3 linked regions of the Caenorhabditis elegans genome follow. The protein of the gene in region 1 interacts with the protein of each later gene in a pairwise test. Each region holds a gene or a part of one and is shown on either strand. Other genes may lie near its edges.

Region 1 (6,823 bases):
AGTGGTTGGAGAATAAGAAGCGTTGAAAATTTAGTTACACATCAAAAAAAGCTGCTTGAAGTTCTATAATTTATAAACCTAAAAATCGAGAATCAGTGAATTCGTCGATTCACATGACGTTTGATATTTTCGAAAAAATATTTTATTTTTATTTTATTTTGACTAGATATGGTTCATTTTCAATCTTGGGGACTACTGTATTACTTCGAACATTCTTTAATTTCAATAGAAACTACGTCATTCAATTTACCAATCACTATTTTTGACTACACATAATACACGCCAATTAAAACGTATGAATATATAAAAAGATTTGTGACAAAGTCTGGAAATGAAAATGGAAATGAAATGAACACGGAAATTTTTTTAGGGAAAAAAGGAAAACAAGACGATTTCTCAGAGGACTTCGCACATTGTGTTAATTGTTCAATCTTCTCGCTGACCAGCGGTTGTGTTTTTTTAGCGGAAAGAGCACTTTTGCGCGAATTGAGCTTCCAAAAACAGAAAAAGGAAATAGAGATGACAATGAGTTGAACAAACGAACAGACCGCACATGCAAAAAAAGAGGAAAAGTTCATTCGGGCAAGCCAGAGCGGCAGCGGTGGGAAGGACGAGCATCTTGCGAGACTGTAAACACGATTTGTTTGCAGGACATGGAAGACGACATACAGTTTTAAAAACAATGGGACAGCCAGAAACACGTCGGCCAAATGCAAGAATCGGAGGATGAGAAACGAATTTTTGAGGCAATCCATGAGCCCGCAACGAGAGAGGAAGAGCAACCAAAACAGAATAGGTGGAACTAGAGACAGATACATTTGGGCGCTGCCGGCTTACAAGCAAAGCAGAGTCCGCTCGCTGAGGTGACTGTATGAGAAGGATTACACGAAGGCTTTAACAGAAACAGGAGCCAACACCGGTGTTTGTGTTGGTGGGACATGTGGCTGAGAAATGCATATGGAACGACTTTGGAAGAAAAAAAACAATACAACCAAAGACTGAAATATAACTAAAACTGTAGGTAGGGAAAATTGAACTTCGGGAAAAACAGAAATTGTTTTTAAATTGTTTATTTATATGTAGAAAACATCTGAATGTGCACTACATTTGTCGTTTTCTTTTTTTTTGAATTTTTGACCTAAAATAATTCCCAAAACTGACACAAAAATATAATGTAGTGAGACAGTTTTGACATACGGGAAATATTTGTTATTTTTACAAGAATACAATTCTAGAACACAAAATTAAGTATAGCACCCTATGGCGAAATTTGAAAAAAAGTATTTGTTTTGATTTTGAAAAACAGGGAATCAAAATTTGAATTCAAAATTCCATACAGGAATATGAAACCTTGACAGCTGATTGGTGAAAAGAGTGAGTGAAAACCGAATAAAAACAAAAACATGTATTCATCCGTTGCTTAACGTAATTGAACAACGGACTTTTTGACCAATGTCCTAGAAGATTGCCTAACAAGTTACTAATGGCATACACTTGAAAGACCAACACTATCGGAAAATATGTACAAGTTAAAGCGACCAGAATCAGATTCCATTCTAACGCAACTTATTTGATAGATATGAAGACCTAGTTTTAGTTAGAAGGGGACCAGTGTCTGAACATTTTACGGAAGAATATGGAAGGAATGTGTTGTCCTCGAAATAGGCAGCCCGATCTCTCCTTTTTCGTCAATTTCTTCGGTTACTTTCTTGAAAAAGTGCACGCTGTATTAATAAACGCAGATTTTGCGAACGGATAAAGAATTTGCATAGGTCATACATATACAGATACACACTCACTCAATCGCATACACAATGTTCTAATAGAACATCGTAAAAAGGTGTGAGAAGTGGAGAAGGTGAGGTGAGACTAACAGTGAAACAGAAGGTGGATGTGATGAAGAAACGATGAAAAAGTCGTATGGGATTCTGTTTCACTCCTTAAGCAGAAGAAAAAGAGGAAGCTTCATCTAATCCAACCGAAATGAATGATTTAAATGAAATTAACCGGTTTTCAAGGTTCCAGGGAAGATAAAAGTGCCCCGCCAGGAAGAGAGTACTGATATGAATTATTATGGGAATTCTGGTGACAGTGACATCATTATCAGGAGTTGGGCAGTTGGAACGTAGTCAATGTTGTTTGTTTTTTTTCTTGTAAATATAACATTTTTTTGTAAACAAAACAAGTTATTATTAGTGTCATTTAAAACATTGAGCTAACTTTAAATTCGAACAGTCTACATGATGACTGTGAACAATAAAAGAAAACACTGTTCAGGGTTAACGAGAATTCCTAAAAGTAAAAATTTCCAACAAAAAAAGTGGTTTTTGAAGATCTACGGATTTTGAAGCAATGTTTTATCAAAAAATGTTCCCGTTTTAAACTCAAAGCGTTTCAAACATGCATTCATGGCTTTTTTCATAAAAATTACTGGCGAAATATAGTTTTTAAAATTTTAATTTCTCAGCTTTGAGAATGATTAATTAGGACTTGCTGGTTTTTGGCTATGTACGGTGTAAGGAGGATTAAGTTCTTAGGGAAATAAAATGCAAAAAATCTACAACAGATATTTAAAAAAAAAAAGAAAAAAACTATAATTTAAAATTCTGACAACGACTAATTCTCAAAAAAATGTATAAATATGAATTTGTGAAAAAAAACGCTTTTTTCCTTAACATTTTTACAAGGAATAGGGAGTCTTAAAAATTTTCAATTTAAAAATTAAAAACTAAAATCTAATTTTTATAGATATAACACTTTTTTTAAACAAGAACGAAACACAACTTTCAAAAACAAAAATTACGTGTAGTTTCAAACTAAACAAATATATAAATTTTCGCGTACTTCTCGAAATATGATGTTAATCGCATAAAACACGACTCAAATTACTTACTTCTAATTAGCAACTTTGTAAAGCTATTCATTTCTGTGGGAAAAATCTCAAAATAGAAACACATACGACAATAGTGGATAACAGGGTTGTGATTACCTTAATTGTGAGTACTACTCCGTTCGGAAGGACTTAGAAACAAGAAATGAATAGAAGTTGATTGAGCGAAGGGATGCCAAGTGGACATGTAAAGGATATTCGCTTCTTATGTATTCTTAGTGGTTCGTTTGCCTAATTTGCAAAACACGTGCGGCTCAAACAGGCATTGCTAGTGAGTCACATATCTAACATGTTTTCAAATGAAAATGAGAAATTTCAAAATGGAACATAAACGAGTATCATAAATCAATAGGCGCCAAGTAGCGGGGCATGGTTTGAAAATGTTGAATGGTGATGGTGGAGAAATGGGTGGTGGAAATGGTTAGAGAGTACGAGACGTAGGCGAAATAGCTACACCGTGATGAGAGGTGAACTGCCAGCTGGTGCACAGATTCGATGGTTTATTATGTTAGTTTGCTTTCTTGCCTGTTGATATTATCCTAAGCAACAAGATGATCCGTTAATACTTGTTTTTTCATGATTGATATGGAATTGCATCAATTAAAATGTAGTCAGGTTGATGAACAAGTCGAAAAAAAAAGTTAAAAACATCATAGGAAGAGTCTATAGGAAGAAAAATTACAAACTAGTACTGCTGTAAACTTAAGCTTGCAAGCAAAAAATTGCAAATTCTGAGGGCTTTTAAAACATTCGTAACTTGCCTTGAGTAGCATCTTACTTGGTTGTTTTTTTTAATAGACATAGGTAATTTTCGAGGTGAGATATTTCTGACAATTACAAATGCGGCAATCGAAGTTTTGTCAATTGGCGAAAAGATTTTAAAACAGCAATGTCTGAACATTTCTGGAGATTTCAAAACGTATAAACGTATTTTGTAGTAAAATATTCGCTTTTCAAGCTTGATGTGTCTTGAATTGATAGGTATTTGACGGAACTTTAAAAATGAACAATTATGTCAAGGTTAAATGTTAAACTGTTTGAAATATGACTGAGGTTGAAAACTGCCGAAAATTCTGACAGTCAACTATGTATATGGGGAATTTCGAAAATCTTCACCCTTGCTTTTAGGTAGGTTTACTCGAAACATTTTTTTATGATAGATTTCTTGTGAAAAAAAACGTATGTGTTTGATTAAAAATTCAATATTATTCGGATACTTATTGAAAGTAAAAACACAATTAATATTTTTGATTAACAGAAACATTAACAGGCAAAATCTACTCACCATGGTAAACAGCTCATGTTTTAATAGATCGACGATTCGAGTGAAATAGACGAATGGAGCAACAGAACACGGGAAGTCAAGAGAAAATAGTTGGGAAAGAGTGAGAAACGTGATCAAAAAGTCTTTAAATGTACACTGTCAATAACTGATTAGGCGAGTGAGAAAGTGTGTGTTGGCGGGCAAACTCAAAGGTGTGGGGCAATATTGTTTGAGCGGTTGTTCAACTAACAAATATACATGGACTTTAAAAAAAAATACAGAGAATTGGAAAAATAGCTTTAAAAGGGAGGAGTTTTGAAAGTACTGATAGTTTTGAGTTTGCTGGAAACATTGTTTTAAAATAAATTAAATTTAGAAAACATAAAAATTAACGGTTCCTAAGAAAAGTCTCAAAGTTGCACAGCGTTAAACATATATTAGAAGTATTCATAGAAATTTCAAGCCACTTTCTATCTGTGAATCACTTTCAGCAAGATCAAGACTTAGGAGGATATCCAGCACAATCAAATGGTACTCTCCTTATTATTCGTAATTCACTTTTGATAGTTTCAATGAAAGGAAAGTGAAGTGAAAGTCAATGGTTTTCGGAAGCAAAGTGTTTGAAGTATCTAAGAGCTTCCAGGTGGAAACGCGAATGCCTTTTTTGTGACGGATGAGTAATTGTGAAACGCAGACTACTCACGGAAACACGATACATGGCGATGGCATTGGAAGAGGGCGAACGGTAAGAAAAAAAAGATGCAAAAAGAGGTGAAAACTAGACATTTTCAATATGCTGGATTGAATTCCTATCCTCACTTTGTTACCACTTGGCAGCTGAGATGCCAATGACTTTGCTTCCTTTTTCCTTCACCCCCCCCCCCCCCCCCCCGAGGACATAGGTAGCAGGCAATTATAGAAGACGAAAACATGGGTGATGATGATGATGACGATAATGATGGACGGATAGAGGGTGAAGGACAATAATAAGACGCAGAGATATAGGAGAGTGGAGTGAAAGAGCACGACTGTATAAATATGAGCTCAAGAGCAGTTTATGTGCTGGAGCATGACGAGCTCTTTCGAAAAGAACGCAACACCCTCTCCACGTTTTCGGCAGAAAAGAGTGACAGAAACAAAGAGAACGGTCATAAGCACGAGGTAACTGTTTTTACATGGGATCAGCGTTTGCACGTTGGTACGGATTACAGTTGGTACAACTGAAGATCAACACGTTCCGATGAACAATTGATCATCTAAGAAGGTTCAATAGAACAATACAATGCGGTGGTGTTGGGCAAGGGAATATATAATCAAGTGAGAAAACATTTAGGTGATCTGGCAAATTTGACTGCATTTGAAAAATGATACTTTGTAAAGAACTTATCCTAATATTTTTGTTTAACAACGCCGCAACATGCAAGCGTTTTCTTTGCTGAATGGAATTTTGTTTATAATACTTTCTGCACTTTTTTTTTTGAAATTCGTATCTTAAACTGGAATTGTAGTTTTTAGCCAGTTTATTTTGAAGGAAGTGCCTAATCTGCAATGTAAAGACAATTTTTTCGTGATTCATCATGAGTTGTGTCAGCATAAATATTTGTATTACAGCAGAAAAAGCAAAAAACCTGAGCAAACTCAGATTGTTTGGTTTTTATGTTGATCAACTTTCACAGAAATTTAATTAGATAATAGGTTAAAGAACGCACTCCTGAAAATCTGAAGATTCTCTTTTTCCCATTTGTACTGTACTAGTCTTTTTTTTCGAGATAACATCTGAAAGAAGGCGTCTGCTAAACGATTGTAATGGTGTGACGATTTAGGTTTTTTGGGTGAGTAGTTACCATCTTCAGACTTCCATCGACCAATTTAAAATTGAAAGTTGGTTTCAAACTGAAAAAAAAACTGGAGGAAAAACTAGATATTAGAAATAGTTCTTGAAATGTTTTCTGGCAATGAAAAATAGGGTTTTTGATTGAACTTGAACGTTTTTTTTTTTGAAAGAAGTTAGAAGTTGCAACAATTTACAAATAGCTATGCTGCTGTAAGAAATATTTTATATTTGGTTTTTTGTAAAAGAATAGGCACTTGTGAATTATGACCACAAATTTTTAAAATGTTTTGGTAATTTCGACATATTGTTTTTCTTACACTCAAGAAATTAAAACAAATCATAGCGTTTTCATTTAAAAATTAAAATTTTGAAATGAACATTACCAAACAAAAATTGGTAATTGGACAGATTTAAAAAGTTGTAGCTCAGTCTATGATTTTGGACGTACATTTTTCAATTTATGCAACTTGAAATACGCCCAGTAAAGTTTTGTTTAAAAAGAGTTTAAAATGTTTGAAGTTTTTCAGAAGTCGGGAAATTGCTGGTGCTCCCATTGGATTTCCATTTCAGCAACTTTCGATGCAAGAAAAGTGACCGATAATCCATTTGTACATTGCTCTGCATTCTATCGAAGACTGTGTACACCTTGGAATGCAAGGTTTGGTTTGAAATCGTAATTTCCAGATTGATAACATTTACCTTCTTCTTGTTAACTGTTTATTCTACTCAGTTGAGCATTTTTCAGTCTAATGTAGTTTTATGTTGTTCTCTTTGTTTTCCTTCCTTTTTTCTCACATAATTACCATAATTTGTCTCATGTTTCTTGTTTTAAATA
Region 2 (8,806 bases), on another chromosome or scaffold:
ACATCTGGAATTAAAAACTATTTGAACCTTTTTAAATGTTAATAAAATAACTAGTTTTGCCTAAATTATATAATGTAGAAAAAACTAAGTTAGTATACTATTGATGCAGTATTACAGAATTATATGTCTTGAATTCAAATAGTGCTCAGCTAACACAGTTCTGTAGTTTGTAGTGTCTCCCTTTCACCCTCCACCAGGACCCCCCTAGCCATCCCAATATCAACGAGGGGCCCCCCTACACATGTTTATGTCTATGTCATCATGATGCCTGGCGAGTTTGTTGGCACTTTGTAATTGGAAAATTTCGTTTGACGCACTTCTTCGCTTCCCCGTTTTATTTCGCGTCATTGGACACGAGATGTGATACATTTTGTTTTTTTATTTTTTGGGAAGGAGGACTCACAAACTTGGGTCTTGACAAGAAGAGAGGTGGATTAAATAGTATTTACTTCAGTGATTGAAGAGGATTAGATGTTGAGGAAGTTCCGAGAAATGTCAGGATGTTAGGAGGACATAAGACACGGCATAAATTTTATGGTACGAAATATAGGACTGGAAAACAAGTTAGGACTACTAACAAAAAAATGTTTAGGGGTTCGGGGACGGACACTCGAAACTATAAGTTTGATATTTTTGTCTTCAACTGTTAAATGTGAATTCTGTTAATATATAAAAAGTTTCGCTATATATTTTATATATTTATTTATTTCAATACGTTTTTTAATCCCTTTTTTGTTGAATACTAAATTTGTCAAAATAGGTAATCGTGAATGTGGGGAAATTCATAAACGCACAGTGTCCGCCGCTAACTAACAGGGGTTTCACGTTGTTAACTAAACTTTGCCGTCTTTGCCGTTTTTTGGAACCACACGTGGTGCCAGGCTGTCCCATTACGGTTTGATCTACAAAAAATGCGCGAATGTTTTTGCCCAAACAACTGTGACGTATGCACGTCCTTAACCATGCGAAATCAGTGTCTCTTCTCCCGCATTTTTTGTAGATCTACGTAGATCAAACTGAGATGAGACGCTCTGATACCACGTGGCATCATAGAATTTTTGAAAAATACTTACTACGATTCTAAGTAACTTATATACATCCATTCCTCCTCTTCTTAGAAATAAGGGTCCTTGAGTATCACTATAATTTAACTAACATTAGTAATAATACAATCCCTTACCCTCTTTCCCACATAACATATATATTATTGAAGTTTGATCACCACCACCACAGCCCACTCATTTTGCACAAGAAACAAAAAAAAACATATTACTCTCCGTTCCTTTTCATTCATTCCCTCCTTTTGAAATTTTAATCAGTAGAAAAACGAAATGCATTAGTGTTTTTTGGGTTCTGCTGATGTGGCTGTGGCGCATGGAAAACGAACGAGTTGCAATTAATTATTTATGATAATGAGTAGTCGTCAGAAAATGGAAAAAGGTTTTTGGACGAGAATGGAGAAAAACTCGGCCACCGATTTATCGCTGGTTACAGTACTCCAAGGGTGAGATTTGTGTAGTGAGGGTTAATAAGACATGTGGAATTCAAAATTCAAAATTAAAATTTTCCAAAAAATCAGAAGTTCAAAAACTACAAATATGTTCTATCCACAGACCGAAGCCATCAGCATAACAACTATAGTACGTTCAGGCAAAGCAGTTTTACAGTTTGTCGTCGGGAGAAAATTTTGTTTTCTCTGTTCCCCATAAATACAGTAGACATCTCAGATCTTATTTAAATTCAGAGAACGTCTAATATTATTGACTGAAAACAATTAAGGCTAACAAAACTTATAGTTTGTCTCCCTTAGCCTCACCCACTTTGACTAATTAGTGATTAATGAAATCCGACAAATCTCGGTTTATTGGAACATTTATTAAAAAGTTCCCACATAAATTGGAAAATAGTTGATGAACCTTGGAAGAAATTAAATTTTGAAAAAGGCGGAAAAAACATTTAACTTTAACAATATTCGAAAGCGCTTTTCTATAAATTTTCATTGAAAATTAATGGTGAAATTTGGATAACGATTTTCTAAAATATGGTCTTGGAAATAATTAATTTGAAAAAATTCTCAAACTACTTTTCGAAATAAAATTTTATCTTAAAAATTTTTTTTCAAATTTTCAGACTCTAACCCTAAATTAAAATTATTTTTAACATCCGAGCCATCGTTGTGTTTTTTTTTTAATTTAAATGCAAAAAAAATGTAGAAAAAAAAAGTGTTTTTTTCGAAAGTTCTGAATTTGAACATTTTTGTAAACGTTTTTTTTTTAAGGTTGAAAAGGTTAATTTCCAGAGACTGAAAATCCAAAATAACATAAATTTTAACGTTACACAACTAAAAATGTAATTTTAAGAGGAAGTATTCAAAAAAAAAATTCCAAAAAAAATCGTCAAAAAACATTTTTTCGGAAATTTTTTAAAAAAATTATATTTTCCTCGAATAAGTTTTTGTTCAATTTCTGAAACCTAAAATCCTATATTAATGTTATTTCTAACATCTCTCCCTTCCTAATGACCTAAAATCCCTTAAAAAAACCGACACCTCCCCCGTCTTTCAGCTCACCGGCAAGCAGCCTCAAATATCGGAGCGAAATCGGAGAATTTCAGGCTATTTGTCATTGAGCACACATACACACACATATTTCTTTGATCTATATTTGATTATTGTGCTCCGATACGTGTCATTTAAAATATCTGACGTCATTCGGGTCCCGCCACGAAAAATCAAAAAAAAATGGTGGGAAACGTGACAAAAATCGGATTTTCAGGAGGGCTGGGATGTGATGAAAAATTGAATTATGTGTATAAGGAACGTCATACTTGCAAAAATATATATGTATGTCATTTTCAGAAAAAGAGATGCAACTTTTTCATTTTCTCGTTGCAAGTGAAAAAATCAGAAGCTTAAAAATGGGAATTTTGGCATATAGACCTCAAACTATATTAATTTTTGTTGACAATTTTCACTTATAGTTAGGACAAAATTTGTATGAAGTACAGGCCTAGGAGCTGAAAATTGAGAAATTTTTTTAAATTTAACAAAAAAAAGTTTTTTGAAAATTAAATTTTTTGATTTTTTAAATATTTTTTAAAATTGAAAAATTATTTTGAAAAAGCTTAAAGTATTAAGATATTGAAAAAAAAATTTTTTTGAAAATTTTCTAAATTCAAAATCCTATATTTTCGACAACAACTAACTCAAAATTTCTCTATTTATCAGTTTTTTAATAGTAAATTTAAAAATTCGGGAAACTCGGAAATTGAAAAAAACCTAAAATTTGATAAATTGAGATAAAATTGAAAATTGAAGACTACAAACTACAAATAAATGTATTCCAATTATCCAATTAACCACACGTTGGTTGCGGTTTAGACTACAAACTACAAGTGTTCACCGAGCCTCAACCAATTTATTTTTCAAAATTTATTGCCCATTTCATATTCAAATAACACGGAAGTAATTTCCCTTTTTCACAGATTTTTCGCTAAAACCTTTTTTGATTCTTGACGCTTTTTTTGTTTTTTTTTTTCTCGGAGAAAAGAAATTGATGAATAGCTGAAAAACATTTGGGAAATGGGGAAATGAAATGAAGAAAAAACAGCTGAAAAAAAGACAATATTCTCATGGAAAAGGGGTTAATTGTGGGAATATTTATGGTTTGTAGGTGGAAATAGGTACTTGCATTTAGTCGAAAATTGTCTTAAAAATTGAGGAAAAATTTTTAAAATCACAATTTTTTTCGAAATTTTTTAGTAGAAATTTGGTTTTTTTTTCTAATTTTCAGCGTGATATTATGTTTAATATGTCTATATTGAACAGATCTTCGGCACTTTTTTATTTAAGAAAAATAGTTTAGTTAATTTTTTTAAATTGATTTTTTCAACTTTTTTTTTCAAGTATTCAAAAATTAAAAATTAAAATTTCTGAAATTTTTAGTTTTGAAGTTTTTAGAATTGTAAGATTTTTTAAAATTATCATTACAAAATTAGTATCAAATAATTGATGGCATTTCTTCAACGCAAAAAAATTTATTTGAAAAAAAAATTTAGACCAGCAAACAAGCCAAACTTCAATTTCTCCCCGAATTTTCCAGATTTTTTTTGTGAAGTTTCTCAATTTTTTTCTAATACTGTTAAATTGGCCAACATTACTAGTTGCTATAAGTTTAAAAAAATAAATCTTTTTCCAAATCCCAAAACCTTCAATTTTCAATTTCCAAAAAAATTGCCGCAATTTCTTCAATATTTCACTTTCCTCAGTTATCTCATTCTAAAATCAACTTCTAAGCTTCTGGGTCCCATGAGAAATCTTTCAAGATTTTGAGCAAAAAGGTCAGAGTCCAAGACAAATTGTTTTTCGTTTTTCCGCAAAATTTTTGGTTTATTTGTTGCTCTTTGTTTATTGACCAACTAGATATGGTTATTGTGACGTGGCGGAAGCGGGGGAATTTGAAAAAAGATTTTCGGACCATAAAAGCGTTGTAGTTTCTACATAGTTTATCAAAATGGCCAAATATATTCAACAATAAATTGTATAGTTTATAGACACTCCGCCCCAACTGATTAGTGTTCAAAATCCGTCTCATTAATTGCAAAGCATCATTTGTGACCTAACAAATTGGTGGCCGAGTTTTCTCCACCCACGGCCACGTAGGATGTGTTCTTCTTGTCTGCGAGTATATATAGATGTGTCCCAAAATATATACCGCTGGAGAATCACATTAACTTTTGAGGTCATATATTTCCTAGACAAGTTCCTCCACCCAGATAGCCTTAGGCGGTAATGGGGATAACTTTTTCCTTTGGATTACGAAAACGGATTGCAGAAAGTAATAGGAGCTGAGACTACAAAGTACAACTATTTTTAAACATCAACCAAGTAAATGATAGTATAAAGTTGATTCCTTAATTGCAATTTCCAACTAACGACTATTTTCAATATGGTAAACTGCAATTAACATGTCCACTTGAAACTTACGGTTTTAACCAATATAATTCCAAATTCAAGAGTTAGTTACGATCTTCATAGTTCCCCGTACCCCAAACTATTCTTCCAGACGACTAGACAAGTGGTTAACACCACCCTCACTAGAGGGAAAACGAAAAAGAAAAACAGACCTAATTAGGACCAGGAACGAATCGTTAGTGACTCTTCAGAAAAGGAATTAGCGAAAAGATGTGAAAAGAAAATGTATGTGTTTTTTGTTCGATTTTCGGTTTTCTGCATTTTCTGGAAAAAATGAGCTGGTATGATAGTTGGCAGCAGAAGGGTTAGCAGCAGAAAATTTCTTTGATTAGTTTCTAGATTACTAGATTCCCCTGAAATATAACTTTGAAAGTTAGGGGTTGCGGGAAGAACACTTCCGTTCTGATTTGAATTCCAAATGAGAAAGTTTTATAGATATGTATAACATTAAATGACAATAAAGACAATCTATTCATTTTTAAACTGCATTGAGGTAGATCGATGCACCATGTCTAAAAACTAGTTTTGCACCCTTTCCAAGCTTGGCAGGTTGTAGGTATCTTCAAAATTATAAGTAAAAAGTCTAACGTGAGTAAGGATACAAATAATTTAACAGTGGCTATAATTAGGACAAACATAGTAATATTGAATTTAGTTTCTATACGTTAAAAGTAGACCATCATACTTTGTAGGCATCTACATATATCCTACAAAGCTTGCGAAAGATGCAAATATAGTTTTTAAACATGGTGCATCGATCCAACTGTAGTTTATGATCATTATTTTGTTAAACACCTATATGGGAGTTGTTGTCAAGAATGGGAACTCAAGGCTCAGATTGTTCGTAGTTTGTAGTCCCTTTGCCACATCATCACTATGATCACTGTCCTCATCATTATTAATATTATTCTCAATCCAACTCACCATGACAATAACGAGCAAAACGGCAGCAAAAAACGACGACGACGACGACGACGACGGCATCGTTATGTTGTGTCTCTTTCGTGAAAGAAGAGAAGAAAAGAAATGAGGTCTCCGTCCGATGGCTCACGGAGCACAGCGGAGGCGGGGCTTATCGGTGCATCGGCGGGTGAGGAGGGTGGAGCTTATGTGGTGTTGTAATTGGAATAGTTAAGATTTTTCTGGAAAATGCGGTGTTGGAAGTGTGTGTGAGTTGAAGTGGTGACGTAAGTGGTTATTAGAAGTGAAGATTTTTCTCAAGTTCGAAGGTTCAGATAACATGAGAAATTGGAGAATTTGGCACATTTGCAGAGGCTAAGAATATACAAACTACAACGTTTTTCAGCCTCCCCACGTTAGGAAACTACAAACTACAAGACCCTTAGCATCAATCAAAGTCGATAACTACTAACTGTAAGGTTGTCAGCGTAGATCAAAATGTGAAGACTACAAGCAACCTTAACATGATTAGATACACTACAAACTACAAGCTACAATTTTCTTGACTTCGACAGAACAAACTTATTCAGCCTCACCCAAAATTTGAAACTACAAACTGCAAGTTTCTCTAGCCTCACCCAAAATGTACAAACTACACAACTTATAGCTTTAGCCAAAAATTCACAACCACAAACTACAAGAATAGATTCATGCAGACTACGAACTACACAATTCTTTAAGCCTCAAACTCAGAAAAAAAAAATTTTTCGGCTCAAGGTCCAAAGGCGTGCCGGATGATAAATGGGTGTTGTTTCAATGGATCACCACTTTTTTCAATTTTTTCGAAAAATAAGAAACCAAATTTTGAAATTCTTTTATAAATATTTCATTTCTCACGATCACGATCTTGTATCAAAAATCGGTCAGTTACCGCTGTCTGATCATAGTTTTACGTCAGAGCTCGGAATAGTTCGTTGGGTGAGGCTAGAGAAACTTGTAGTTTGTAGTCTAGGGCTCTAGGGCTTTTTTATAGTTTGTAGTCGATTAGCCTCACCCAGCCCGACACTGAAATTCAGTGCACTTTTCCAGTCTACCCACTACTTTTTTTTAATGCCTCGCCCTATCCGTTTCAATTTTTTTCGTCCCGAGAAACCTTTTTTAAGTGTATTCCAACTCTTTCTCTTTTTTTTTCTATTTCTCAACAATTCGTAAAAGCAGTGGTGTAAGTGGGTGTAAAAATAGTGGTCCCCAGGGGGCAACTGGGATCACTACTGACATTACACGTCACTCTGAGAAGAAGAAAAATGTAGGCGTTGAAGTAATGCCACGTGGCATTAAATATCCACAAAATTCACAAAGTTCGACATTTTTCTTTCATATTTTAATGTTGTGCCACAAATCAAATATACAAAAAATCTTCCATTTTCTATATTTTCCAAGAAGAACTACATATTTCTTTTTGTTTTGTATTCACTCTACGATGAACACAAATTTCACCAAAGAGCGACAAATTCATTTTCAGAAAAGAAGCCTCGAAAATCCACCCACCAGTTCGGGGGGTATAAAATGCGAGACGTACTGAAAAATAGAGTATGGTAAATATGAAAGTGGAACTGGACTCAGAACAGAAATCGAGTTGATACCCCTTTTTATTTTCTGGGTAATAATACAAGCTACATTGTTTATCAGTTACTATTTGGTTTTAAGATATAAAACCTAATAACATGGCCTGAAAAAATATATAAAGAATTATAATGCTAACTAGGTATGTACCAGGGCTCGGCGGCATTTTTTCGGCAAACACACTAACTGACTTATTACAACATGATTATCCAACTTTTTCGATCTAATGTTGATATAGGAGTGTATAAAACTGGAAGGCTTGAAAAGTCCTGAAAGTTGCAGTTTGCCAAAAAAACTTTTAACGGCACTTTTTTGCTAACGTCACCTTTCAGGCATGATTTGACAACTTTTCCAAGCTTTACAACAAAAATAAATGCAATTTTCAGATAAAACAACCCGTTTTTTACATTTGATATCAATTTTAGATCAAAAAGTTGGAGCACCATATTGTAATAAGCAAGTTTGCAGCGTTTGCCGAAAAAATGCCACATACCCCTGGTATGTACTTGACCAGGTGGCCGATGCGTTCTGAAACTTTGGTTGAGGTTCAGGAAATGTTGTAGTTTGTAGTATTTTAGCTTCACAGTTCGGTAGGAACGATCTTCACCCTATCGACAAATAACGTCATTCATACCTATATCAAATACCAAATTGGCATTCCCATTGTTTATTATTCCACGTCGTCAAGATTTTTAGAGGAAGATAAGTGGGTACTTGATCATAAAATGTATATATTTAGACTTTCAACTAATTTCGATACCTTTAGGTTTGAGAAAATTCGAAAGAATTTTTATAGAAGTTAAAAACCTGGAAGTTGAAAAAGAGCAAAAAGTGTTGTCAGTTTACTAGGACTTCCAAGGGAGGCAGGGCCCTACACTATGGCGAGAAGTCACAGGCTTGGTGTTTACACCACATAGTGCGAAGAAAGGTGGTTCTTCCACCGCTGCTGACACTGTTCGGGTTCCACCTCGCAATATATTTATGGAAGGCGCGGATCGCGGCGCGAGGCAGTCGGATGTCGCCGCAAGGCGGGCGCGGCTTTTATTTTGGTGCCTGCATGAAACTACAGTTTATATTTCACACTATAAACTAGAAATCTAGTTGAAAATCCTATTACATAGAAACTACTTTTCGTTGACCAATGATAACACTACCAACCAGGGGTGTGCGGCAAATTTGCCGAATTTGCCGTTTGCCGAGCACGGCAAATTTCAAAAAAGTAGATTTGCCGAATTTGCAGAGCTCGGCAAATTTCAAAATTTGCCGCACACGTCAAAAATATGACAGTACAATTTTGACTAAAACTATTGA
Region 3 (8,541 bases), on another chromosome or scaffold:
GTAAACTATTCGTTCTTTAGCAAAAATAAAAAAAAAACTTTATTTAAATTTAAAAATAAATATCATATGTTATCACACCTTAGAATATCACGCCTTAATTTAGTAATCATTTTTAGTTCATAAGTGTGAGAGAAAGAAAAATGGATTAATCATCGGAATTAGATATCATCAGAGTGATTATATTCATCAAAGGTCCCACTTTACTGGAGATTTAATTTGGTTGATATAAAATTCCTATCTCATGTAAAGAAAGGTTCGAATTCTGTACCTATGAATACTGCCGATATTTGAATTCCTGTCTCATGGGAAGAAGGCCTTTCTTGTGGGAAGAACGGAGTTATAAAAAAATATACGCAGGTACAGAATTTGAACTTTTCCTCCCATGAGATAGGAATTTGAATATTGGCATTCTATAACTTCACTAAGAAAAAAAATCTCCAAAGGTTGATCGCAAATATGTAGAGATTGCTCGCATCCCTTCAAATATTACAAAATTTCCAAGTTTCTCAGTAATCTATAGTTTTCATTTAGATTACTGAAAAATATACACAGATTACTTTTGAGTCTGAGAAGTTATTGTAAAACGCAAAGCGAGCTCAAATGTATTTTGATAAAAGTGGCTATTTAGGCTTAAGCCGCGCCATACCGCCGGTGTGTCATAAGGATTTCCAATATTTTATTCCAGTTGGGCATCCTAGTTTTTTTTCCGGGCCCTTAGGCTTAAGTGTGTCATAAGGATTTCCTATATTTTATTCCAGTTGGGCATCCCAAGTCTAAATAGCTCTTTTTCTTTTCTTTTGCGCTCCAAGCGCAAGGAAAAACCTTCTTGTAACTTTTTAAGAGGGTTTCATATATTTTATTAAAATCGGGGCGAAGCCCTGATTTTAAATCCATATTGTTTTTTTTTGTCTTCCTCTATCCCTGCAAATAGGAAAGATAATGTGTTCTTTCTGATGAAGTAAAAATCATCATAAAATCTTGAAAACTGAGAGCAGGAGGTAATATTTGAATATATTGGGTCGTAAATGTGTGTCTCTCTGTGGGTGGGGTGGCGATGTGTTGGCAGCCCTTCAACGAACTGTATCTCCCGCCTGTATCTCCCTTCAAAGAGAGAATTGGGTTACAAAAATTTGAGGGGATATGAAAAAAGGTGTGAGAATTTCAAAAATATTATTGTTGAAACACCAGACCAAACCACTTTTTCTGGGCAAGAGGCAAAAAATTAATTTTTTGAAAAAATTTCAAACTGGCACAAAATTTTTTCAAAAATAAATTTTTCACAAATTGTTAGTAGATTTCATTTTTCATAAATATTGTTCATTGAACACAAAAAAGAAAACAAAGATTCATCAAAAAATGAGTGAAAAATCGCAAAAATTCGAAAAAATCAGTGCTGAAAAACTCGATTTTTTGGCGGTGCTGAAAAAAATTTTCACTAAAATTTTTTTGAAACTTAGTTTTTCGGATTTAGCGTCAAATTTTGAATCTATATAAAAAAACAAAATTGAAATTGATCTCAGATTGAGTGAATAATAAACGCTCAAAGTTGAAAAATGAACAACGCAAAAACGGCAGTAACTTGCTTCAAGGTCGGTTATCTCAGTGAGTTTTCACTCAATTTTCGAAATTTGTTTGCTCTATCGCTTTAGAAATATTTGTAATTTCATTTGTTTTCCTCAAAATCAAAATATCTCAAACGACCGCCATCCTACGAGAAGGGAAAAAAAAAGTTTTTGGAAAAAAAATCAAAAATTTTTTTTCTGCCTCGATTTTCAAAATGAAAAAATCACTTTTTCGGAATAATTTTTACTTTAAAATGTACCTACGATCTTTTTATACAACAATTTCACCTTGGAACCAAAGATTTTTGGAGGATACTCGAAAATACTCTTCATATCTCGGCTCAAAGAGCTCCAATCTTTCTGAAATAAAGCATACAGAGGTGGGGCAAGCTTCTTGAAGAGAGAGCAAAAAACCGCATCAAAATCCATCCACCCACCGTCAAGTTACACGCGCGTTTTCAGAGTGAACGAAAAACAGGGCATAAAAAAATTTAGACGCCCGCACCCGGACTCGAACTTTTTTCAGATTTACAAGCTTAATATCTCGGCTCCTGTAAATCGAAATTGGCTCAAAATTCTCAAGAAACCTTATCCTGCGTCCTTCCTGCTGTCATTAAATTTTCGTGAGCTTAGGGAGAAAACTGACAAAACGCCAAACTTTCAAATTTAAAAAAATAGTTGAGGGTCATTTTGTAAACACCTTAAGCTCCATAACTCGGCGAGTTTTGATGGAATCAATTTGAAATTTTACACGGAAGCTTCTTAGTGGCTTATACGTCTCTGTGTTAAATTTCGCTTTGATCGGCCAACGGGAACCCTTTGAAAAATGAAAAAAACGCTGTAATCCTAACCCTAAATGGCGAGCTAACGCTCGCCACTGACGCCAAGCCTAGGCCTAATCTCAATTTTAACTGTAAAAATAACAAAATTCCCTATTTTTCTGTCAAAATCGAATTTATCTAGGCTCGCAAATTTTTGATCTACCATCTCAGATGTTGATCTACTATCTACTTTTCGGCGCCAAATTTCCAATTTTGGGTGCAGAGACTCTGTTTCTTTGAGTTTTCCGTTCGATTTCCGCTCATTCCGTCTCCTATTCCTGTTCTCTGTGGACAAAAATGTACAGTTTCAAAAGCAGCACCGACGTGAAGACTTATATCAGCACCCCGTCGTGCCGGATATGTCTTGAGCCATTTGGTTAGTGAGTTTTTGTTGGCTTAACGGCTTTTTTCGTCAGTGTTTGGCTATTTTCTTGCAAATTTTTAGGTGTTTTATCGATTTTCACATTTTTAAATACTTAAAAAGCTTGATATTTGAGCGAAAAATCAAGAAAATTAAATTGCGAAATTTTTTAAATTTTTTAAATACCAACGACACTCCGATCTTACACCCGTGCGCGTTGTTTAGCGTAAATTTACAAAGCGAATTTTCAGTTGGTTTTCTCGAATTTTAATTGAAAATCTTGAAAATTAGTGAATTTTTCAGCGTTTTTATGGATTTTTCCCTTAGAATACAGGTTTCTTAACCGAAAACACAATTTTCCTCCAATTTTTTCATAAACATCTTTGAAAAAATCAATATTCCAGACGAAGGACAACATCTTCCGAAAATCCTGCAATGTGCCCACACGGTCTGCGAGAGATGCATCGGTTTGCTCGACGAGCAGAGCCGAATCAACCACAATCGGCCGCCGATCGACCGCTCGTTTGTGCACATTAGATGTCCAGTTTGCAGGGTATGTGTTATCAATTAATTAAAGGTGGACTCCGCTCAGTGCGGAAATTGCTTTAAAACACGCCTATGGGGTCACAATGACCGAATATCTTGATTTAAAAAATTCAAAAAAATTTTCTAGATTTTATATGATCTTTTGAAAATTGAAAAAATCTCAGTTTTTGCCTAATTCCTATTTGAATTTCCGCCAATTGGATTTTTTCGGTGGGGCGCACTTGCACGTTTAAAAATTTTTTTTTTTATTTATTCTTATTTTTCACCGATTTTTAATGTTTTCGGTGTATTTTTGCTTGAATTTTAGAGAAAAAGCCAAAATAAATGCAGATTTTCGATTAAAAAACACGATTACAGGCGTAAAAATGAGAAAGTAACGCTTTTAAACGATTTCGAACCTGAATTAATTAATTTCACTGATTTACGCCTGTCAGTGTGCTTTTTAATCGAAAATTTGCATTTATTTTGACTTTTTCTCTAAAATTCGAGCAAAAATACACCGAAAACATTAAAAATCGGTGGAAAATAAGAATAAATAAAATAATTAAATTTTAAAACGTGCAAGTGCCCCAACGAACAAATCCAATTGGCGGAAATTCAAATAGGAATTATGCAAAAACTGAGATTTTTTCAATTTTCAAAAAATCATATAAAATCAGGAAAATTTATTTGAATTTTTTAATCATGATATTCGGTCATTATGACCCCATAGACGTGTTTTAAAGCAATTTCTCCACTGGCGCTACTCCACCTTGAAGATTAAAATAAAATTTTTAATGAATTTTGCTGAATTTCAGGCAGTCACCCAGACTCCACGCAACTACATTCGATCCAACTACCAGCTAATCGAATTGATGGATTCGATGCGTGGAGAAGCCGATCATAATATTTCATTCCTCGCGTGTGTCGGCTGTAATGGCGTTTATCACGAGAAAGAGTGCGTTGGAAACTCACGGCCTCACGGCTCACGCGGCACCTCACGAACTCCAGAATTTGCGGGAATTTGTTTAGCGCGGGACAGCAGTTTTTTGTTATTTTTGGCTTCTACGGAAATTATTTTTGATTTTTTGATCTATAATATTCTTGAGAAGCATCCTTCGAATTGAAAATGTGAAAAATTATGAAATTTGAGCGAAAACTGAAGGTTTTACAGTAAGGAGTTCTATACTTTTCTTTAAAAATGCATCAATACCGCCAGTTTTTTGATTTCAGAGTCGTAAAGTATGCCATTTTGTAGAGAAAAGTCTGTTTCACAAAAATCCATGTTTGAAAATTGAAAATTGTTTTTATTAAAACCTGAAAAATCAAAAAAAAAAAAAAGATTTTAATGTAAAATTGTTGATTTTTTGAATATTTTTATATTATAAATTGAATAATCAGAATTTCAAACATGGATTTTTGTGAAACAGACTTTTCTCTACAAAATGACATACTTTACTTACTTACTTAGGATACTTAGTCGATCCGTTCTTCGCCTGCGGCGCGGATCACAGCTTTCCAAGCTTTTCGGTCCTTTGCTTGGGTGGACCATAGTTGTTTGACTTGCCCGAAGGCGTCTCGCGTAGTGACTTCTTTTCTTAAAGAGTCATTCCATCTCATCGGTGGGCGTCCAACGGGTCGTTTCTCGTCTCGGGGGCACCAATCGTTCATCAGAGTTGTCCATCGGCCATCCGTTCGTCTCGCCACGTGTCCAGCCCATCCAAGTTTCCTCTTTTTTATGTGTATTAGTGGATCTCTGAGTTTTGACTTTTCTCGAACTTCTTCGCGATGAATGTTTCGTTCGCGTTGTTCTGTCAAGGTGAGTCCAACTAACTTTCGTTCGAGGGCTGCATGGGTTACTCTGACTCTTTCCACTAGCTCTTTTGTGAAAGTCCAAGCTTCAGAGCCGTAGGTCAGGGCTGGGAGAACCGTAGAGTCGAAGAGATTTGCACGGAGGCGTGGGCAGGTGATCTGGTCCGTGGTGCTTTTGATGTTGGTAAAAGCTGCCCACGCAGCTCTTCGTCTTCTGTGAAGCTCAAGCTTTTTTGATTTTTTGATCTATAATATTCTTGAGAAGCATCCTCCGAATTGAAAATGTGTAAAATTATGAAATTTGAGCGAAAACTGAAGGTTTTACAGTAAGGAGTTCTACACTTTTCTTTAAAAATGTATCAGTACCGTCAGTTTTTCGATTTCAGAGTCGTATGTCATTTTGTAGAGAAAAGTCTGTTTCACAAAAATCCATGTTTGAAATTTTGAAATTGTTTTTATTAAAACCTGGAAAATCGAAAAAAAGAAAAAAGATTTTAATGTAAAATTGTTGATTTTTTGAATATTTTTATATTATAAATTGAATAATCAGAATTTCAAACATGGATTTTTGTGAAACAGACTTTTCTCTACAAAATGACATACTTTACGACTCTGAAATCAAAAAACTGGCGGTATTGATGCATTTTTAAAGAAAAGTGTAGAACTCCTTTCTGTAAAACCTCCAGTTTTCGGTCAAATTTCATAATTTTATACATTTTCAATTCGGATAATGCTTCTCAAGAATATTATAAATCAAAAAATCAAAAAAAATTTTCATAGAAGCCAAAAATAGCAAAAAAACTGCTGTCCCCGCGCGAAACGAATTCCCGCAAATTCTGGAGTTCGTGAGGTGCCGCGCGCGAGCCGTGAAACTGTGAAAATTCAGATTTTAATTAATTTCCCCAATTTTCAGCACCAATATTTGCACTACATGCTCCCCAATCATCAAGGATGCTCATCCCACTGAACTCATCGAGCAAGGAGTAATTCTGAATCAGTACGCGTTGTGTTCGACGTGTCTCCTCAGAGATCACATCAAAAAGAACCACGTGTCGATCAGTCTGCAGCCTCTTCGCGTCGAAATGCAACGCCAGGAGAATCAGCGGCGGATAGTCGGCTTGCAGGACAATTTGCACAAAGTGCAACGCGATTTTCGTGAGCAGCTTAACGCGACTATGGAGCGATGGGCCGGATGGAATGGGAGCCACGATTTGTCGATGGATAAATTCCGTGAGCTTGGTGATACGTACAATCAGAAGAAGGTTTATGATGCGTTCGTGCATCAGCTGAGAGGCAAGACCGCTAAGATTGAGAAGCTCGCCGAGCACGTTTTGCGATGGAATGATGAGCTGGACAGGGAGATGGTGCGTTGAAGATCGGGGCCGCTTTTTCAATTTTTTTGAAAATACAAAAACTAAACTTTTTATTCCGAAAATTTAAATTCTGAAATTTCGAAAACCTTTAAAGGTGGTGTAGTCGAATTTTTTTATTATTTTTTTAAAATTTTATTAGACTCAAAATTGTCTGAAAACACCGAATTTTATAATGAAACTTCTTGAAAACTCCAACTTCTCAAAAAAAAACTTCTGACGGCTCGAAAAATGTCCTAAAATTAGTTAAAATTTGAAATTTGACCGACTTGCAAAAATTTTTAATCAATTTTAATATGTAAAGCCTAAGTGATTTTTTGCCAGAAAAAAAAATCTGGAATTTACAGTTTTTGAAATAAAAATTTTCAACAAAAACTAATAATTTGTCGGAGAAACATTTGAATATCAGTTTTTTTTTGTCAACTCTAATTTTTATAATTAGTTTTAAAATTTAAAATTGAGAAAATTATTCGCATTTTTTGCTCAAATTTTGTATTTTTAAAATAGTTTTTTTTCTTTCAAATTCTACTCCAAATATACTCAACATTTTGGTAATTTTTTAAGAAATTTTATGGAATTTTTCGAAATAAAAACAATTATTAAAAATTTCAACTAAAATCTAATTTTCAGTACGAATTTTAGAAAAAAAATTGAAACTTATAAAAAAAATTTTCTAAAAACTAAAAATTTCGCCTTTTGGTTTTTTTTTCAAAAATATTTGGAAAAATTAACAAAGTTTTATTAAAAGTGGTGTAGTCGAATTTACTAAATTACTTAATTAGATTCGAAATTGTCTGAAAACACTGAATTTTATAATGAAACTTCTTGAAAACTTCTCAAAAAAAAGTTATGACGGCTCAAAAAATGGCCTAAAATTAGTTAAAATTTGAAATTTGACCGACTTGTCAAGCGGTTGGAAACTAACTTTTTTTTTGAAATTACCGTCAAATTTTGAGTATAAAATATAATTATCTTGCATTTTCAACTAGATTTAGGTATTTTAAAGTCGATGGACGGCGAGATTTTTATATTTTTAAACCAAAAACGGCGAGATTCGAGTTGAAAACGCAAGATAATTAAATTGTATACTCAAAATTTGACGGTGACTTCAAAAAAAAAAAATAGTTTCCAGCCGCTTGACAAGTCGGTCAAATTTCAAATTTTAACTAATTTTAGGCCATTTTTTGAGCCGTCATAACTTTTTTTTGAGAAGTTTTCAAAAAGTTTCATTATGAAATTCGGTAGTTTTCAGACAATTTTGAGTCTAATGAAGCAATCCGAAATATTCTTTAAATCATTCTTTTTGGGATATTAAGAAAACTTCATCCTTTTCCCCTAATAAAATAAAAATTTTCCAGGAAAGACCACCAGCTCATCGTTTGCCACGTAGCTCAACTCCAGCGCCAGCACCACCATTCGACAACTCCGTCGCCTACTATTTTGAGCACCAATTTTGAGCTTTTATATTTTTTTTTCTCATCCCACCACCACATTAAAACAGAGTTTTTATATATACAGTACCCATTATTCGAACACAATTTGTTCTAAAAGAGCCCCCAAGAATCAGATTTAATAAAGAATGCTCTCACCAATTACATTTTATTGCAAAGAAAAGTATGAACATTTACAGGAAATGCGAAAGAAAATGCGGAAGTGAAATTGAGATCGTCTAAGACTCATAAAAATAAAGTCGACGAAAAAGGCCTTGTAGGCAGGTAGATAGGCATTTTCGTGCCTACGAAGAAGGGGGAGGATCAGAAAATCTATGTTTAACTTTTCAAATACTATTGAAAAGTGCCATAAGTGCCATAATTATTAAAAATCCAAATTTTTGAAAATACTCCAGAAAATTTTGAACATGGTGCAACGTGACCAAAATAACAAAGTGTGCAATAAATATGGCCCGTTTTTGCCACTTTTTAATAGTTTTTGATGGGTTAAACCTAGATTTTCTGAATTCAGCATATATGAATTACCCGTTTTCAACAAATTTAGCCGATGTTTTATTTTTGCCCAAATCGTTTTTTCAGCCATCTAATGACTGTCCTTTTTTTGGGCAAAAAAAGATTATTCTGAAATTGAACGAAACT

What was found. Proteins that work in one complex are often made in the same cells at the same time.
Region 2: the proteins of sdpn-1 (region 1) and nlp-15 interact in a two-hybrid assay, tested with the Caenorhabditis elegans proteins (one large-scale study listed by BioGRID).
Region 3: the proteins of sdpn-1 (region 1) and grif-1 interact in a two-hybrid assay, tested with the Caenorhabditis elegans proteins (one large-scale study listed by BioGRID).

What each region holds. Positions count from the first base shown.
Region 1 is NC_003284.9:7,993,904-8,000,726, forward strand, and holds the start of sdpn-1 (SH3 domain-containing protein), read right to left. Parts: upstream 4,193-6,823; coding exon 4,176-4,192; intron 707-4,175; exon of another isoform or gene 458-706; intron 1-457.
Region 2 is NC_003279.8:12,985,425-12,994,230, reverse strand, and holds the start of nlp-15 (Neuropeptide-Like Protein), read right to left. Parts: upstream 6,001-8,806; 5' UTR 5,957-6,000; coding exon 5,897-5,956; intron 5-5,896; coding exon 1-4.
Region 3 is NC_003279.8:1,975,372-1,983,912, forward strand, and holds grif-1 (RING-type domain-containing protein), read left to right. Parts: upstream 1-2,658; 5' UTR 2,659-2,680; coding exon 2,681-2,759; intron 2,760-3,148; coding exon 3,149-3,297; intron 3,298-4,087; coding exon 4,088-4,227; intron 4,228-5,994; coding exon 5,995-6,445; intron 6,446-7,809; coding exon 7,810-7,908; 3' UTR 7,909-8,041; downstream 8,042-8,541.